Linked DNA regions of Mus musculus. The protein of the gene in region 2 interacts with the protein of the main gene of each other region in a biochemical or structural test. Links are inferred from orthologs where the notes say so. Each region holds a gene or a part of one and is shown on either strand. Other genes may lie near its edges.

The links. The genes of interacting proteins can lie anywhere in the genome.
Region 1: the proteins of Gadd45a (region 2) and Eef1a1 form a complex in vitro, tested with the Homo sapiens proteins (2 studies listed by BioGRID). The link is inferred for Mus musculus from reciprocal best matches to the Homo sapiens genes GADD45A and EEF1A1.

Annotation. Positions count from the first base shown.
Region 1 is NC_000075.6:78,476,114-78,485,692, reverse strand, and holds Eef1a1 (elongation factor 1-alpha 1), read left to right. Parts: upstream 1-3,968; 5' UTR 3,969-4,054; intron 4,055-5,004; 5' UTR 5,005-5,038; coding exon 5,039-5,182; intron 5,183-5,272; coding exon 5,273-5,452; intron 5,453-5,544; coding exon 5,545-5,841; intron 5,842-5,918; coding exon 5,919-6,069; intron 6,070-6,158; coding exon 6,159-6,415; intron 6,416-6,500; coding exon 6,501-6,735; intron 6,736-6,834; coding exon 6,835-6,959; 3' UTR 6,960-7,240; downstream 7,241-9,579. UniProt on the Homo sapiens protein: Translation elongation factor that catalyzes the GTP-dependent binding of aminoacyl-tRNA (aa-tRNA) to the A-site of ribosomes during the elongation phase of protein synthesis.
Region 2 is NC_000072.6:67,032,079-67,042,628, forward strand, and holds Gadd45a (growth arrest and DNA damage-inducible protein GADD45 alpha), read right to left. Parts: upstream 5,330-10,550; 5' UTR 5,167-5,329; coding exon 5,123-5,166; intron 5,034-5,122; coding exon 4,932-5,033; intron 4,858-4,931; exon of another isoform or gene 4,838-4,857; coding exon 4,600-4,837; exon of another isoform or gene 4,521-4,599; intron 3,695-4,520; coding exon 3,581-3,694; 3' UTR 3,018-3,580; downstream 1-3,017. UniProt on the Homo sapiens protein: In T-cells, functions as a regulator of p38 MAPKs by inhibiting p88 phosphorylation and activity.

The DNA of each region.
Region 1 (9,579 bases), on a different chromosome or scaffold from region 2:
CATTTTTCTATTTTGTTTAACACTAGGGAATAAATATCATAACTGGGCTGGTGAGATGGCTCAGCAGGTAAGAGCACCCGACTGCTCTTCTGAAGGTCCTGAGTTCAGGTCCCAGCAAACACATGGTGGCTTACAACCATCCTTAAGGAGATCTGACTGGTGTGTCTGAAGACAGCTGCAGTGTACTTACATATATTAATAAAAAAAATCATAACTCTCTTTTAGGATTAGATTTTAGCCATGATTCTGGACTTAATATAAGACTTACAAACCAGAATCTGTTGCTTGCCTAGTGTTTGTGAAGTTGTTTGCCATGGTTTGGATTCCTGAATGTCGCATAAAAATAGGTGATGAGGGTGGAGGCAGGGGAATCAGAAGTTCAAGGTTATTTTTAGGTACAGAATGAGTTTGAGGCCAGCCTAAGCTACATGAGACTCTGTCTCTAAACAATCAGAAAACAGAACAAAACAGAACAAAAGAGGAGAAACGCCCCCCACCCCTACCTTGCCAGGCAGAGTCAGGAGGATTTCTGAGGCCAGCCTAGTCTACATAGTAAGTTCTGGGCTAGCCAGGGCTACACAGTAAGACCCTGACTCAGAAAACAAAACAAACAACATGTGTGTGTGGGGGGGTAAAATATAGAGTGTAAAACAAATAAATTTAAAATAAGAAAAACAAACAATATACAGCATGTAGGTCTAGAGTGATGGCTCAACAGGTAAGACCTGCTGTTCTTATAGAGGACAGGGGTTCAGTTCTCAGCATGCAGATCAGGCAGCTTACAACCATCCTAGTTCTAGAGGCCTAACACCCTGACACTCCCCCCTCCCCCGCCCCCCAGGGAGGGCACCTGGAATGCACACAGTGCATAGACACACGTGCAGGCAAAACGTCCACATATATAAAATAAAAAAATGAAAACAAATCCTCTAAACTTTCAGTCTTTAATCTTTTGATTCAAACCCTCAGGTCATAAAATAATAATTTCTTTACATTGTCAAAAATGTGCCATTCCTGCTAAAAAAAATATGCAGGGTTGCCAGGCTTGGTGGTGTAGGCCTTTAATCCCAGCACAGGGGCGGCAGAGGCCGGCAGATCCCAGTGAATTCGAGGCTGGCCTGGTCTACAAAGTGAGTTCCAGGACAGCCAGGGATGTTACATAGAGAAACTTTGTCTTGAAAACTAAAGAAGACAAAATAAAAGATGTGTACTATTCTATTACCCCAATAATATATAAGCCCAAACCATTGGAAGCATATATTGCTAAAGCAAGCATGGAAAATAATATCTCGATAATATCTCGTGTGGGACAGATACCACTACTGTATACACTAATGTATCCCACCGCTGACTGTGGGAAACAAGCTGCAAAGAGGAGTCTCTAGCCAGTGTCTCCAAGGAAATAAATGAGAGAGAGAGCAGAGAGTGGGTTCTGTTGCTGCCGATGGGTTTTCGAGTATTTCTTACAATTTCTCCTGTTACAAATAGGCAGTAGGGTATCAAGATAATTCTATCCTGTATGCATATGACTGGCTAGGGACCCCAGAAAAATTCTGTGTGGAAAAAAAGAATTTGTGAAATGAGAGAGGCTAATGTGGACATTACAGAAAAGGCTTTTGTGTGCCTAGCACGCATAGAATAGATCCTGTGTGTGATCCTTTAACAACCTCATTGACCAGAAAAAGAAAAGGCTTCTGTGGATAGCAAATGATTAGTTATATGTATATACTTGGAGGGAAACGTTGTCCTGGATTCTTTGATTACAATTACCAGTGTTAGATGAAAATGAAGCTAGAAGCCACCTGATGAGTGAGAAAATCTGCCTTTAGGAAGTTATAAGGATCTGTAAACTAAGAATTAGGAAGGCTATTACAGGGTCTTTGTTTCTCACTTAGGCAAGAAAAGAAGCCTGGGGTGGGGGTGGGAGGGCTGTGGGGAGGATGCGGGGTGGGGGGGCACACCTGAGATCCCAGTACTTGAGAAGTGGAGCTAGGAAGATTAGAAATTGAAGGCCAGCAGGGCATGGTGGTGCATACCTTTAATCCCAGCACTCGGGAGGCAGAGGCAGGCGGATTTCTGAGTTCGAGGCCAGCCTGGTCTACAAAGTGAGCTCTAGGACAGCCAGGGCTACACAGAGAAACCCTGTCTCGAAAAACCAAAAAAAAAAAAAAAAAATTGAAGGCCAGCCTCAGCAACATGAGTTTGAGGCCAGCCTGAGCTACATCAAGTTCTGTTTCAAACAAAAACAAAAGTAGGACATGAAATGGCTCTCTGGGTACAGGCGTTTGCTGCAAAGCCTGACTGAGTTAGATCCCATAGGTCCACGTAGTTGAGGGGCAAACCTGCCCCACGAAAGGTGGCCTCTGGCCTCTGGCCTCCGCACAGGGTGATGTGGCACACGCATTCACACACACTAAATAAATACCACTTTTAAAAAAAAGTTAAAAAACAACAGTTTGGGATGTGAAAAATAGTTGAAAACTAGAACTAGACAAGAAATGAGAAGCATCATGTAAATTTGCTTTGAACTGGTTCCAAATTGTTTTATATTTAAGTTTTTCCCTTGACTGTGGAACTCTTCCCCAGAAACAAATAGTTCCTTTGCAAATCCTGTGTGTTTTTGTGAACACTAGACAGAGGCCCTCAAATGCTCCTAGTAAGGTTGGTGCAAGAACATCAAATGTTTGTAACTGGGAAGTGATGTTGTACACCTGGGAGAGGAGATCCAATGATGGATAATCAGATAGGATATCTTTGAGCTAGGAACTGTAACTTGGTGATAGACACCCTAGGGTTCCATCTCCAGCACCCCATATCCCATTACAAAATAATTCTTTTTCCATCTCTAGCATTAAAAAACAAAACAAAGAAGTTCTTCTTTCCTCTGAGAAACACTTCTGTGTGCCTGCTCTGAGAGGCATTTAAAAATGGCCAGGGCTTTAATCCCAGCAGGTCCAGGTCGGATTCCTGTGAATTTGAAGTCAGCCTGGTCTACTACCTATTCCAGGGCAGCCAGGGCTAAAAAAGAGAGACCTTGTCTCAATAACAAAACAATGCTGGTATGATCGCTAGAATTGCAGCAAAGAAAGGGATGTAACTAACAAGGCAAGCCATTTTTGAGAAGCAGTGATTTCACAAGTGTTAGGGATGGGCGCTGGGAGATTGCTGATGCTGGTATTTAGATGAGACCATGTGGGGTGGATTAGATTATTTTCAGGTTTCTCATGTTCAATCAAATGGCTGTACATACACATGTACACATACAATCTTTTTAGTGTAACAAACCTAGAATCAAAGTAAAGCTAACTGTAGGATTGAAGCATATTCTGAACTGAACCCTTAGGGGTGTGAAGGCCGCTTCAGGTTTCCAGAGAATCAACCGGCATTGGATGGAATAAACCAAGGGGCCAGCCCAGGGGCAGATCGGTCGAGCTCTCCGCTACTGAGCTAAGCCCTTGGGTTCTAGAGCCGGGAAGGGTCCCCAACATTGTGTTCCTCTCCCAGCCAGGAGAGCATGGGCTGCGGGAGGCGAACAGAAGGATAGCGGGGCTGACGTCGGGAGGTGGCCTCCGTGGGAAGGGACACCCGGATCTTGACACAGCCTTGGCAGCGGAGTAAGGAAGAGTAGGGATAGATTCTGGCCGCCCTCTTGGCCAGCTTCTCGCCGCCCCACCCTCCGCTAGGGCCAAGAGTAATTCATACAAAAGGAGGGATCGCCTTCGCCTGGGGAAGTCCCAGGGACCGTCGCTAAATTCTCATAACCCATAATCCCGGTACCCGCCCCACCACAGTGCGAGGAGCATGCGCTCAGGGCTGAGCGCGGGGAGAGCAGAGCACACAAGCTCATAGACCCTGGTCGTGGGGGGAGGGGCGCACTGAGCGGGGGGGGGGGGGGTGATGGGGGGGAGGACCGGGGAGCTGGCGCGGGGCAAACTGGGAAAGCGGTGTCGTGTGCTGGCTCCGCCCTCTTCCCGAGGGTGGGGGAGAACGGTATATAAGTGCGGCAGTCGCCTTGGACGTTCTTTTTCGCAACGGGTTTGCCGTCAGAACGCAGGTGAGGGGCGGGTGTGGCTTCCGCGGGCCGCCGAGCTGGAGGTCCTGCTCCGAGCGGGCCGGGCCCCGCTGTCGTCGGCGGGGATTAGCTGCGAGCATTCCCGCTTCGAGTTGCGGGCGGCGCGGGAGGCAGAGTGCGAGGCCTAGCGGCAACCCCGTAGCCTCGCCTCGTGTCCGGCTTGAGGCCTAGCGTGGTGTCCGCGCCGCCGCCGCGTGCTACTCCGGCCGCACTCTGGTCTTTTTTTTTTTGTTGTTGTTGTTGCCCTGCTGCCTTCGATTGCCGTTCAGCAATAGGGGCTAACAAAGGGAGGGTGCGGGGCTTGCTCGCCCGGAGCCCGGAGAGGTCATGGTTGGGGAGGAATGGAGGGACAGGAGTGGCGGCTGGGGCCCGCCCGCCTTCGGAGCACATGTCCGACGCCACCTGGATGGGGCGAGGCCTGGGGTTTTTCCCGAAGCAACCAGGCTGGGGTTAGCGTGCCGAGGCCATGTGGCCCCAGCACCCGGCACGATCTGGCTTGGCGGCGCCGCGTTGCCCTGCCTCCCTAACTAGGGTGAGGCCATCCCGTCCGGCACCAGTTGCGTGCGTGGAAAGATGGCCGCTCCCGGGCCCTGTTGCAAGGAGCTCAAAATGGAGGACGCGGCAGCCCGGTGGAGCGGGCGGGTGAGTCACCCACACAAAGGAAGAGGGCCTGGTCCCTCACCGGCTGCTGCTTCCTGTGACCCCGTGGTCCTATCGGCCGCAATAGTCACCTCGGGCTTTTGAGCACGGCTAGTCGCGGCGGGGGGAGGGGATGTAATGGCGTTGGAGTTTGTTCACATTTGGTGGGTGGAGACTAGTCAGGCCAGCCTGGCGCTGGAAGTCATTTTTGGAATTTGTCCCCTTGAGTTTTGAGCGGAGCTAATTCTCGGGCTTCTTAGCGGTTCAAAGGTATCTTTTAAACCCTTTTTTAGGTGTTGTGAAAACCACCGCTAATTCAAAGCAAAAATGGGAAAGGAAAAGACTCACATCAACATCGTCGTAATCGGACACGTAGATTCCGGCAAGTCCACCACAACCGGCCACCTGATCTACAAATGTGGTGGAATCGACAAGCGAACCATCGAAAAGTTTGAGAAGGAGGCTGCTGAGGCAAGTATAAGGCAAAAGGAGGGATGGGAATTCTTTAAGCAGGGAGTAGAACCTAGGTCTTGGGTGTACTAATTAGAAGTCACTTTGCAGATGGGAAAGGGCTCCTTCAAGTACGCCTGGGTCTTAGACAAACTGAAAGCTGAGCGTGAGCGTGGTATCACTATTGACATCTCCCTGTGGAAATTCGAGACCAGCAAATACTATGTGACCATCATTGATGCCCCAGGACACAGAGACTTCATCAAAAACATGATTACAGGCACATCCCAGGTGTGTAAAATTTACCCATTCCTGACTCAGGATATTTTTTAGTGGGGTGCTTTCTCTGAGATAATGGTATATGATTGTCTTGTTTCTTACAGGCTGACTGTGCTGTCCTGATTGTTGCTGCTGGTGTTGGTGAATTTGAAGCTGGTATCTCCAAGAACGGGCAGACCCGCGAGCATGCTCTTCTGGCTTACACCCTGGGTGTGAAACAGCTGATTGTTGGTGTCAACAAAATGGATTCCACCGAGCCACCATACAGTCAGAAGAGATACGAGGAAATCGTTAAGGAAGTCAGCACCTACATTAAGAAAATTGGCTACAACCCTGACACAGTAGCATTTGTGCCAATTTCTGGTTGGAATGGTGACAACATGCTGGAGCCAAGTGCTAATGTAAGTGACTTTTAAGGTAGTTGAATGGAGAAAGCCGCAATAAGTAAGGAGGTTATAATTGACTGCCTGTGTTTTAGATGCCTTGGTTCAAGGGATGGAAAGTCACCCGCAAAGATGGCAGTGCCAGTGGCACCACGCTGCTGGAAGCTTTGGATTGTATCCTACCACCAACTCGTCCAACTGACAAGCCCCTGCGACTGCCCCTCCAGGATGTCTATAAAATTGGAGGTAAGTAGAATATTAAGTAGAATGTTGACGTGAATTTGAAGTCTTATGTTTTGTGTATTAAATACTTATACAAAACAATACTATTTTAGGCATTGGCACTGTCCCTGTGGGCCGAGTGGAGACTGGTGTTCTCAAGCCTGGCATGGTGGTTACCTTTGCTCCAGTCAATGTAACAACTGAAGTCAAGTCTGTTGAAATGCACCATGAAGCTTTGAGTGAAGCTCTTCCTGGGGACAATGTGGGCTTCAATGTAAAGAACGTGTCGGTCAAAGATGTTAGACGAGGCAATGTTGCTGGTGACAGCAAAAACGACCCACCAATGGAAGCAGCTGGCTTCACTGCTCAGGTGACACATTTTTAAGATAGGTGGCTAGATTGGTTGTGTGTGCAGAATCACAAGGCAAGACTTAAATACACGCTGTTTTTCTTAGGTGATTATCCTGAACCATCCAGGCCAAATCAGTGCTGGCTACGCTCCTGTTCTGGATTGTCACACAGCCCACATAGCATGCAAGTTTGCTGAGCTTAAAGAAAAGATCGATCGTCGTTCTGGTAAGAAGCTGGAAGATGGCCCCAAGTTCCTGAAGTCTGGCGATGCTGCCATTGTTGATATGGTCCCTGGCAAGCCCATGTGTGTTGAGAGCTTCTCTGACTACCCTCCACTTGGTAAGCCTGATCTGAGTCTGCTACACTGAACATCAAGTTTGTAATAGGAAATGTTGCTTGCATAGCAAAGATACTGATAAATGGCATTTTTCTATATAGGTCGCTTTGCTGTTCGTGACATGAGGCAGACAGTTGCTGTGGGTGTCATCAAAGCTGTGGACAAGAAGGCTGCTGGAGCTGGCAAAGTCACCAAGTCTGCCCAGAAAGCTCAGAAGGCTAAATGAATATTACCCCTAACACCTGCCACCCCAGTCTTAATCAGTGGTGGAAGAACGGTCTCAGAACTGTTTGTCTCAATTGGCCATTTAAGTTTAATAGTAAAAGACTGGTTAATGATAACAATGCATCGTAAAACCTTCAGAAGGAAAGAATGTTGTGGACCATTTTTTTTGTGTGTGGCAGTTTTAAGTTATTAGTTTTCAAAATCAGTACTTTTTAATGGAAACAACTTGACCAAAAATCTGTCACAGAATTTTGAGACCATTAAAACAAGTTTAATGAGAAATCTGTGTTGGTCAATGCTGAAAGTTAACTGACTGTATACAACAAAGGTACTGGGGTCCCCATGGTATGTTCTTAGGGATTGAGTTCTGGTTGTCTGGGTCTGCCCAGAACTGAGCTATAAACAGGGCTGATTTGGGTTAACTTCAAATCTTACTGGTGAGGACAAAGTAATTTTGCTGTATCAACCCAAGGTGTGGTATAGTTGGGCAGACTATACCTATACCCCAATCTGTCTGGATCTGCATGCAGTAGGTCAGACTTGGGTGTGACAGCTAAGTTTGATTTAGGCAGCATTGGAGTATGCTACCACATAGGATTACTGAGTGTGCTTTGTGAATATTGGAAATGAAGCAAGGTTGGACAATTACTTGAGCATTTCCTTCCACAATTACACAGGAGAGAACCTTAACTAAAAAGACCAATCTTGAATGAATAGGTGAGAACGAAGAGGCTAAGCAAAAGGGATTTTCTAAGATGAGCTTTTGCAAAACAAGCTGATGGTAGGGTGGTAGGAATACCTTCAATAATAAGGTAAAAGCTGTTCAGTATTTATACTGAGATTTTGGTTACAGTGACTGTACTTGTTGCCAGAACATGTAATTTGAAATAAGTTTCAAAACTGAGGCATGTTAGCCTGACTTTGGCAGAACAAACATGGGCTAGTCCCTGGAAGTGGATTGGCAAGACTGCATAGGATATGTCATGAAGTCCATGAGATGAAAACAGGTGGCCTAAGTTTAGATAATCTAGACTCAGAAAAGTGATGTGTAATAACCCCTTTGATATGGCAAAAACATCCAATGTGTCATCTTTACCCTTAGAGACTGGATAAAATTCTAGTGCTTGTGGGATTAAGGGTTGCTGTTGCTGCAAACTCTTTACTAAAGGCTTGTCAGTTCCTTAGTTGAGGTTATTTCAAGTAGGACTGGTTAAAATGGATTGCTAATAGTGAAATAGCTTAAGTAAGCTGTTAGACCCTAAATAAGAATCAAGACCTACCTGGGAAATTGATAGCAAGTGTCTGCTGGATACAAACACCGTTTTTCAAACCTGCACACTTACGTGTATAAGTGGAGTAGCACCATCTACTGGTGCTTTGAAGACAAAACATTCAGAATAAAAGCATGTTTCTGGGGATGGAATTCAGGGCCAAAGGTTTGGTAGGCAAGCCTTCCACCACGTGAGCTACATAGGTAGTCTTTAGTCTTGATTAAAATCAAACACGTGAAAGCTAAGTGCTCTAAAAGGCTAGCTGTTTAGATGTTATATGACTTTAGTGTGGACTTAGTGAAAATTTCCCCCGGTTTCTGGCACCCACATGATTTACAACAGTTCTAGTGGCCTGTCTGTACCAGGTCCATATACAGTACCCATGTAGGCAAAATCTTGAACTCTTTTAAAACATGTTTTTTAAAACATTTGGGCTTTAATGTGGGAGATAAAGGCTCCACATGGATAAGGCCAGTTGCTACTAATGAGTAGGGTTTAAAGTCAGTGCAGTCTCAGTCTGGGTTGCATAAGGGCTAGGGAGTCTTGACATCCTTAGAAATAAAAGTAAATGAAGGCAGGCTGGGCTTGAAAGGCTGGCGAGACAGTCTAGTCCCTAGATGCACATAGCAGAACATCCCTCAAGTTGTCCTTTGTCCAAAGGCACATGGCTCTTAAAATACTCTTGAGAATGCTGCCCCCACACTCCCTTATCTTGCAGTCAGGCTAGCCTCTGGGTCTAAATGAACCTCTTGGCAGTTCTTGGGAAAGGTACTGGGTGAACCTAGGGCCTTTGCATATGGTTGGAAGATACACTCCCACTGAGCAGTGATCCTCATTCCTTCAAAAGAATTGAGAGGCTCAGGCAGGCCTTGAACTTGTGATCTTTCTATCACAGCCCCCCTGAGAATGGAATTAGAAGCTTACTAGTAGGTTTGGCTCAATTTGAGTTTTGGAAAACTTGACTTACAAGGCATTTTTCTGAGCTACAGTTTTGTCTATCCCTGGATGTCCTGGAACTTACTCTGTAGACTAGGTTGGCCTGGAAATCCGAAATCTACCTGCCCGTGCTTCCCAAGGCTTGGACTAAAAGCATGTGCCACCACACCAACTAAAAAGCCAATTTGTTATCTAAAAAAACAATTTAAAAAAAAAAAGATTTATTTATTATATGTAAGTACACTGTAGCTGTCTCAGACACACCAGAAGAGGGCATCTGATCTCATTACAGATGGTTGTGAGCCACCATGTGGTTGCTGGGATTTGAACTCAGGACCTTCAGAAGAGCAATCAGTGCTCTTAACCGTTGAGCCATCTCATCAGCCCCGTTTTTTTCTTTCTTGAGAGAGGGTC
Region 2 (10,550 bases):
ATTATAAAAGGTTACTCTCATGGACTCTTTTCATTACGGAGCTTTAACATACTAAAGACCCAGACTAGCCAGACAAAGCAGAAGCAATACTGAATCTATGAAGTCACCTATGGAAAAATAGGTATTTTCCACTTTTCAGCAAACAGCACATCTCAGTAGGTGTGTAAAGTCTTTGTTCTTGTTGCATGTAAGGAAGTCAGTTGCTTGCTTTTGTGTTTTTAAGAGGATACCAGGGTGGGTTGGTACTAGGTAACCTAGTGGCCTTAAACTCAAAGTAATCCTCCTGCCCCAACCTTGTTTAATAATTTCTAAAGCAATTAACTAAATATTGGCACAAGTTAGAGGCATACTTTATTTATACTTAACTCTTTCATAGATTTAGCTTTTTATGAATTTTATTAATGTGGTGTGGTGTGGTGATGGTGTGTGTGTGTGTGTGTGTTGTATGTGTTTTTGTGTATGTGTGTATGTGTGTGTATGTATGTGTGGGTTTGTGTGTATGTGTGTGTATGTATGTGTGTGTATGTGTGTGTATGTATGTGTGTTTGTGTGTATGTGTGTGTATGTGTGTGTATATGTGTGTATGTATGTGTGTGTTTGTGTGTATGTGTGTGTATGTATGTGTGTGTAAGTATGTGTGTTTGTGTGTATGTATGTGTGTGTGTGTTTGTGTGTGTATGTATGTGTATGTGTGTGTATGTATGTGTGTGTATGTGTGTATAAGTATGTGTGTTTGTGTGTATGTGTGTGTGTGTGTGTGTGTGTGTGTTTGTGTGTGTATGTATGTGTGTGTGTGTGTGTGTATGTGTATAGGTGCATGTGCACATGTCATGCACTTCTGTGGTCAGAGGACAAGTTGAAGAGGTCAAGTCTCTTCTCCCTTGGGTTTCCAAGATCAAACTCAGGTTGTCAGGCTTCGGTGGCAACTACCTACTGAGCCAACAGCTCATAATTTGTTTTAACTTATGTTTGAGTTATCTTATGAAAGAACAACAAAACAAAAATCAAAAGAATACCTAACTCTACTTATTGTTGAGCTTTTCAAGAGATGGAGTAATCTGAAGGTTTTATCCCACTACTTCATCTCACTAAGCACTGGGGTTAAATGACTCAAACTCCTTTTTTTTTTTTTTCCTTTTTTTTTTTTTCTTTTTCTTTTTTTTTTTTTTTTTGGTTTTTCGAGACAGGGTTTCTCTGTGTAGCCCTGGCTGTCCTGGAACTCACTCTGTAGACCAGGCTGGCCTCGAACTCAGAAATCCTCCTGCCTCTGCCTCCCGAGTGCTGGGATTAAAGGCGTGCGCCACCACGCCCGGCCTCAAACTCCTTTTTAATAATATGTATAAGTAACAACTCTCTGTAAGGCCTTCAATATTCTCCTGTTGCTATGATCCGAGCAAATACCATGTACCAGGTAGTGATTATTTCCCCAGAGCCAGAGATATTGCAGGATCTCGTACATGCTCTATCTATCACTGAAGCTACAGCCTCGGGTTCATAATGATTTCTAATCATTCATTTATTAAACAAATATTACCTCATCATCTAATGTATGGATACATCAGTGGACCAGATATTAAGTTCATCCTTCCAAGAGATGACAAAGCTATAAAAGGCAACTCTGTAGGCTGGGTAATGTGCTCTTCATTTTACACATGAATGAATGGTGGGGGTGCTGGTGGAGACCTGACTGCCACTCATGTGCTTTCCAGCAAACAGCTGCTTTTCTCCACGTGTCCTACTTGGTTTAACTTAGTTCATGAAATACAACAGTTGTGGAAACCGAACAAGCCGCTAGTGGGAAGGCTAAAGGGCTTGCTCGAAAGGAATTGCTCTCAAATCTCCTGCTAATATAAAAGTAAATGTTGTTATTCCAGTTGTTTGGGATTACACATTGTCTTCAAGCAAAGACTAAATAAGGCCTAGAAATCCACATTCCTAAGAGTAGAAAAGCAGAAGGCTCATAGGCCTATACAAGATGGGCAGAAGCTTAAGGGTTTTGTGGTTTCTTCTGCTCTCCCTGATGGTCACAAGAAGGCTGGCAAACAGTAGGGGCCCAAGGAGTTCCAGAGAGGAAGGGAGGGAGGGAGGGAGGGAGGGAGGGAGGGAGGGAGGGAGGGAAATAGAGAAAGAGAGAGCTCCAGAGAGAGAGGAGAAGAGAGAGGGAGGGAGGGGGAGGAGGAGGGGAGGGAGAGGGGCAAACAGTGGAGACTATAGCTCTGCCAGGCTTTGTCTTCAGCACACACCTTTGCTTCCCTTGCCTCTGCCTCCCAGCTACAGTTAATTACCAGGTGCTTTCTAACCAGACAGTAGAAAGGCTTCTTCTACTGAAGTCTTTTCTTCTTCTTTTTCCTCTGACACTTCTTCCCTGACATAATCAGACCTCTCACAGCAGTAGGGGAAATTCTCTGGGAAGAGGCTACAACTTGACAAAACCTGCCCTTTGCCACGGTTCTCCCTTACGCTGGTACTGTATAGCCAGCCACTCACCCTATTTACTACCCCATACCTCCCCAAGTTATCTACCTACAACACTGACCAGGTCACTTCCTTCTGCAGACTGTGGCAAGTTCACAGAAAGAAGCTCAAATACATAATGGTGATGCAAGAACTCCTGTCAGCATCTGAGCTGAACCCCCACCTTTCCAACCCTCTCTCACTTATCTGCCTACACCAGAGGCAGGCAGAGACACCCTCGTAGGTCTCTCTGCAGGCTGTGATCTTTGATGCCTCCAATGAAATGTTTTTTCCTCAGTAAAAGCTTCACTCATCTTCAAGCAGCTTTGGTAACCCTCCTCTCTGCTTCCACGTTTTGCATGCAATTAATTATAGCATTTAAGTCATTCACTGTAATTTAGACTTTGCAAGGTGAATCTTGCCATATTCCCTTTTTCCTTACCCCGACCCTCTACAACCGCCCCCCCCCACCATCTTCCTGCCTAGTGTAAAATACAGCAAAGCTTCAATAGAATGTCCAATAATCAATATTGTAAAACACAAACCACACGTTGAGAAATGACACAATTATTCCATACCAGTTTATTTTAGATAATGTGCTTCAAAAACTTTATCATAAATAACCTTTCACATCATAAAATAACTTAGTAAGATTTATAATAAAACTTCTGAGAATTTAACATCTCATCAAAATACATTTAAACTGTGGCTTGAAAATATGATTAATCCTCTTTTACTTTCCTTTTATTTGAGGGCATAAAGACCAAAAAAAAAAAAGAAAAAAAATACCCAAACTATTGCTATACATTTAAAGTTTCAACAAAGCAATATTTGGCTTATTTGAAAGTAACCTGGCCATCCTAAATTAGCAGTTTTCTTTCTTGCAGTGCTTTGTAGTTTTTGTCCCTTTTGCCTTGGATTTCTCTTTTCTCGCAGCTTCCTTCTTCAGGCTCACCTCTCTCTCCCTCTGCAAAGTCATCTCTGAGCCCTCGTGCAGTTGAACTCGGCCCCTTGACATCAGTTTCTGTAATCCTTGCATCAGCGTGGGGAGTGACTGCTTGAGTAACTACAAAGGTATTTCAAAACTTCAGTGCAATTTGGTTCAGTTATTTCCATTCGGATGCCATCACCGTTCCGGGAGATTAATCACGGGCACCCACTGATCCATGTAGCGACTTTCCCGGCAAAAACAAATAAGTTGACTTAAGGCAGGATCCTTCCATTGTGATGAATGTGGGTTCTGTGAACAGATTTTGAAAAAATTACTTCCCCGGAAAATAATCAGCTTCTGCTACTAATTGTGCTACTTTTGAAAGGGCCAAACCCCGAACATTCTGTTAAAAACAGCATCTAGCATAGTCTAAACACCTGTAACGTGCACGGAACTACACAGAGTTTTGCATATTAACTACCCCATTCTGCATGAGGTTACCATTCTTAAGACCTCCCTTCCAAGCATGTACCCTGGTGGGTCATAAGTAAAAGACTCCTGAAAAGCATTCTCAGGCTGTGTGCACGGTGAGGGCTGCAGGGCAGGCAGCTGCTGAACTCTTATCTTCCCTGACGATGAATAGCACATTTTACTGGCAGCAACAAGTAACCAGGCAGTCACTTCCCTACACAAGTCAGAAGAGAAAGAGTACAAAAACAAAAAACCAGAAGACCTAGACAGCACGGTTCTTTCTGAAAACACTATCAACCCACCACACATTTTTAAGCGGTGGGGAGGAGGGAGCTCGTTTAAACAAACTCAAGAGCAGCAAAGAAAAGAATTCCACTCGGTACACTTCAGAGTATCTATCTATATCCAGGGAATTAATAAGGTCTGTCTCCTACACCACTTCTACCTTTAGCTTTGACAGCAAATGAAGAATGAAGCTAACTTCTTAACGAAGGGTAAACCGGGAATTTATTTGGCTTTATCTAATCTGTTCTGCTCAAAGAATTAGCCACGCGAGGTTGTGCAGAGGTAAGCAGAGGTAGCAGCTGGGCAGCTTGCTGACTCACAGGGATATCTTCCGCCGCTGGAGGCCACCCACGAGCTTAGACACGCTCCGTACCCTATCACAACCCCCGCGAGATCAGCGTTCAGCTCGGACAAGGTCCACCCCAGCAGATTCTGGGCTGCAGCCCCGGGTCTCTTACCGTCACCAGCACACAGTGCAGGTCCGGGGTCTGCGCGGCGCCCCCGCTCTCCGCCGGGCCCGCGTCGTTCTCCAGTAGCAGCAGCTCAGCTAGCCGACCCGGGTTGCTGACCCGCAGGATGTTGATGTCGTTCTCGCAGCAGAACGCACGGATGAGGGTGAAATGGATCTGCAGAGCCACATCCCGGTCGTCGTCTTCGTCAGCAGCCAGCAGGCACAGTACCACGTTATCGGGGTCTCTGCGGGCAGCGGGGCAGCGGTGAGTTGCATACGCTCAGGGGGGCGCGGGGTAGAGGCGGGTGGGTGGGCGAGCGGGGAACGCGGGCCACTTACACGTTGAGCAGCTTGGCAGCCTCGTACACGCCGACCGTAATGGTGCGCTGACTCCGAGCCTTGCTGAGCACTTCCTCCAGGGCATCGCCCACCGTGTCCATCCTGCGGGCGGCAGGGTGAGAGCGGGTCAGCCGGGTCCCCGGACGCGAGGCGGGAGGGGCGGCGGCCACCGAGTCGGCAGGCACACTTACCTTTCGGTCTTCTGCTCTGCAGCCGAGAATTCCTCCAAAGTCATATTGCAAGTGCGAGTCCCTCCCTCGGCGCGCGGGCTGCTCCTGGCCCCCACAGTGCGCGGCGCCGGCTCTGCGCTCGCTCCCACCCTCCCTTCTCCGCTCCGGCCGGCCGGCTGCTCGCCTAGCCTCGCTGGGGAACTCTGCACTGCTGCCTCGGGGCCACTGGAGGACAAAGGGCCCGATTCCGGAGATATGGGGCTAGCCCTCAGCCAACCAGGTCCAGCTTCATTTGCATGCAGTCAGGCCATTGGGTTATGCAAATTAGCAGACGTTGACACCCAGACCCTCGCTCCACCAAAGCAAGGCAGAGTTGAGCGGAAAGGGGCGGAGCTACGCGGGAGGGAGCCCACGGGACGAAGGTGGTGCTGAAACCCGGTTGGTGGGGTCCTGAGCCAGCTCTAGGTAGTTTGTGGAGCCTTCTGGTGCGGAGGGCTTTGCAGTGGTTCAAGTGTCCTCAGCTCTGACTGAAACAGCCTGCCAATTGTTTTTCTGGTTGTGGACATCTTTTGATTGTCGTTTCGTGCCCTTTGTGTTAAGGGGCTGCTTTTTAAATTTTACTTCCAGGGATTAATGCACTCCAGTCTAGCTGTTGTTAGTAAGCATATTTTTAAGTGTCCAGACATGCCGGGCAAAGCTTGCTTCAGTGTTTATATGCAAGTTTCAGGTAAACCTGCTTATTCCCAGTAGTAGTCTTTTGGTGCCCTGATGGCTGGTTTGATTTGGTTTTGGTTGGTTGTGAGAATTTGAAACTCCAGGGAGAAGAAAAAAAAAAAAAAAATCGCATTTGTGTGTAGTGGTGGCACAGTACCAAGTTGGAATCTTTTCCACAAAAAGTTGGTGAAATTTCTGCCTACTCCATGTAAGGTGGGGAGCTGGTGATCGCATGTTTAACGAGCCAAATTCACCGTTCTTAGAATCCTTCCTGAAGAAGGCTCCTTCTGATCAAGTAAGAGCTAAGAGAGAAATTCTGTGGTATTCAGAGGTGCCATCATGGAAATTCGAGGTGCTCACGATGTTCCCTGAGCGTCCCATCACAGGCAGAAGAGTATGACACCACCTTTACTGTCTATGAGCTCACTCTGAATTACTGAAGCTGAATCATGAAGCTGTAACTGTAGTACATTTTAGCCATGTGCTCAAATTTCACCTTTGAGATAATAGCAACTTGTAGGTAGAAGGCAAACCCTCGTAACTGCAAGCAGGAGTTACAAAGTAAAAACAATTTTTAATGCAAACTTTTACTGGATAGCTCAAAACTCTCTTTGTTTTATGAGCTTATTCAGTAAATACAAAAGCATTGCCTGAACCTACTAGTCACGGAGAGTGGTGAAATTGCAGCCCATATGCTTGCATTCTTAACAGTGCTAATATTGAGGTCACTGGGTAGCTTACAGTTACAGAAGTAAATTTTGCAGAGGTACATGTGAGTTATCCTTAAGATTTTTTTTGCGGGGGGAGGGGTGGTTTTTCGAGACAGGGTTTCTCTGTGTAGTCCTGACTGTCTTGGAACTCACTTTGTAGACCAGGCTGGCCTCGAACTTAGAAATCCGTCTGCCTCTGCCTCCCGAGTGCTGGGATTAAAGGCGTGCGCCACCATACCCGGCAAGTTTTTATTCTTGTGGACAAAATATTTTCAAATTCTCTTAATCTTAACTTAATGGATAATTTATAGGTTGGTTTTCTAGTTCACTTATTGGAGATGTCCCCAAGAGACAAAAGTTGAGTAAAGGAGCAAATGTCAGTGTATGACTTACCCTGGGTGCTGTGTACCTCATACTTACGCCTTAAAGCTTTAAATGGCGATGCTTTGTTAAAGAATCCCTTGGGACTGGGGAGTTGGCTCAGTGGTTAAGCACACTGGCTATCCTTCCAGAGGTCCAGAGTTCAATTCCCAGCAACTAAATGTGGCCCACAATCATCTATAATGGGATCTGATGCCCTCTTCTGGCATGAGGTGTACATGCAGTTAGAGCACTCAAAAGTAAATAAAGCGGAGAGGGGAGGGGAGGGGAGGGGAGGGGAGGGGAGGGGAGGGGAGGGGAGGGGAGGAGAGGAGAGAGAGAATTTCTCTACCATTGGGGGCCTGGGATTCTAGGTCAGTGGTAGAGCAGTTGCCTAGCTTGTTCCAGGCCCAGGCTCAGAATTTGATCTCTAGCCCTACAAAACAGCATCAGGGGCAAAATCTCAATATTGAAGTTTAGGCTTCAATTTCTATGGTTAACAGTGACCGTTACCTTAATGGTGATCAAGAGCCATTACTAAAACAAGCCTCTGGGCGTGACTGTGATGGGTCATCTAGATTAGGATGGATAAAACCATTCCATGGGCTCGGGGTCTTCACTGCATGTAAAAAGGAAAACAGCTACACTGAGCATGGTCATTCTTGGTTCATTCCTGACTGAGGATGCCATGTGACCAACCACCTCTAGCTCTGGCTGTCAAGCCTTCCCCATGATGGACTAACTGTACCCAGGAATAAACGCTTCCTTTCTTAATTTTGTTCCAGGAACAATACAGGTAACTGGCACTAAAATACCATCTTTAAAATACCATAATGACACAAACCACTCCGAGTCACCATTTGGAGACTAATGAACTGTGTTCCCTAGAACTCCAGGGCTCTACCCATTAGACATTTCTTAGAAGTTCTCTGGAAGGATGCAGCTGACAAAGAATTAGAAGATGATGTGACAGCAGAGACTATGACTTCATCAGCTTGGTGTCCTCAACACCCTACATTCAGTAGTACAGTGGGTGTCATGAATTAAAAAGAATCTGAGAATTAATCACCACCTCATGACCCTACAGTCCTGTGCATGAATTCTCAGAAAAGTCACCTTTAACATCACTTCAAAAATATAAGCCCTAAAAAATTTCTGGTCCTTTCTCTACAAAGACCTCATGATCTACTTGGTATGTCCATTGTATTAATCAGGGTTCTTTAGAGTAGTGGAACATATAAAATCAATATATATGTATGCATATGTATATACACACATACATATATACAAAGGGGATTTATTAGGTTGACTTACAGGCAGTATGTAGTCCAACTAATACAACAATGGCTGGCTATGAACAAAAAGTCCAAGAATCTAGAAGTTGTTCCGTCCTTGAGGCTAGATGTCTCAGTTGGTCGTCTGAATGTGCTGGGATCCCACTAAAGTAGGCTCTAATGGCAGTGAAGGAATAGACATGCTAGCAAGGCTAGAGCAAGCAGGCGATGAGCAAAAGCTTCCTTTTTCCATGTCTAAGCTTCCCACACAAGGTATGGCCCAGATAAAAGGTGTGCCTTTCCCACCTCAAGACCTGTATTAAAGGAGTGTGTCTTGTCACCTCAAGGTCCATATTAAAGGAGTGTGTTTTCCTGCCTCAGGATCTGGATTAGAAGTGGATCTTCCTATTTCAAATTAAGCAAAAATTTCTTCACTGGGGTGCCCTCTGTTTTTGAATTTTAGATAATTCCAGATGTACTGAATGAAGTTGACAACCAAGAGTCGCCATCACACCTATGTTTCAACTGGATTTTAGGACAAAATGGTATTCACTGTCATCAGCTAGTTATGCTGAACGTCCCATCTCATCTGAATGGAAGCTGAGTCGAACCATGCACTGTTTATGCAATTCAGATGAAACATAGGACTATAGTGTCCCATTAAAGGCAGCTATTTGAAGTTTAAAATGGGTATAACATAGCAAAAGTATAGTATTTATCCCTCAAAAACTATACTTAATGCTATGTTTAGCCTTATTGTTAAAAAAATGGCATTTTATCCAAATCTGGTATTCAAAAACTGTTCATGTCACACACTCTGACTCAGCCAAGCTTGTGTTACCTCATTGCTGAATTTCCCTAGAATGTTTCATCAGTGATTGTCTTCTGTGAGTATTATGGTTGGAAGGAGGAATTGCACTCAGCCCGCCTGCTTGCTTGCAGCTTTATATTAGAGTCCTGGATTATATTCCACCTAACGAGTCCAGTATGTAGAGATATTGCTTTAGATAGGGTTTCTTTTGCTGTGATAAAATCACCATGGCAACTTGGGAAGGAAAGGGTTTCCTTGGTTTACGTATCCTGAATCACAGTCCACTGGGGGGAAGCCAAGGCAGGAACTCAAATCAGGAAGGAGCCTGGAGGCAGGAGCTGCTGCAGAGCCCACGGGAGAGTGCTGCTTGCTGCCTTGCTTCCCATGGCTTGTTTAGACAGCTCTCTTACAGAACCTGTGGTCAGCTCAGGGATGGCACCTCTTACAATGGGCTGGACCCTCCCACATGAGCCACTAATTAAGAAAATATGCTACAGACTTACCTGTAGCTCAATTTTATGGAAGCAGTTTCTCAATTGAGGTTCTGTCCTCTCGGATGGCTCTAGTTTGTGGCAAATTAACATAAAACTAAGCAGCACGGTTACTGTTTGTTTCTGACAGAGTCTCAAGCTCTCAATCCTTCTGCCTCAGCCTCCTGAGTGCTGGAATTACAGGTATGCAGCATCATACCTTCCTAATGCTATTTTTAAAACTACTCCTGGTAGTCCCAGGTGTTGAAGTATGGAGGACTAGAGTGACATTTTAATCATATTTATGAAATCTCTAAATGGTTATATCTGGTAGTCATGGGGAAGTAGGTACTAGACAATTATTAAATTATTTTGCTGTTTTGCCATACTAGAGTTTTTGTGACAACATCCTCATCCTTATCACACATACATTCCTACTACTGGTTCTACAATACATAATTGTAGTGTTTCCTCCTTTCAAACTATAGCCAGTGCTACTGAAGGAAAGGAGCTTGTTATTTCGGTGTGAGTCAACTCATAGTCTACTGCCTAGAACGGAAATCCCAAGTTATGAAATCATAAGGCTTCAACTTCTTGTTGCTCTTGTTTATCTGCATAGGCTTGATAAGTCTTTTTTTGGTTTTGTTTTGGGGCTTTGGGGTTTTTTGTTGTTGTTGTTGTTGTTGTTGTTCGTTTGTTTTAAAGCAAGCCTGTGAGTTTACCTCCATTTTTATTTCAGAACGTTATTTGGACAAGATTTACCATCACTTAAAAATGTGTCTTTCCTTAGGATCAGTATTTCCTTTGAATTTGTAGCTTAGGTATGAAAAGTTGACCCTCCCTTCCATTCCCTCCCCCCTCCTCCTCCCTCTTCTTCACCCCTCTAAAGCTCGGGCATCAAAGGCTTGATCAGCAGTTAGTGGTGCTACTTCAGAAGGCAGCAGAAATGTTAGGAGCTGGTGCCTAGCTGGAAGAAGTAGGTAACTAGGGATGCCCTTCTGAAGGATGTACCTAGTTCCTTGTCCCTTTCTTTCTCTTGTCTCCTTCCTGCCAGGATTTAAGCATCCTCTGCCCCGTGTTCCCATGTGATGGCCTCACAGCTGGCCACAG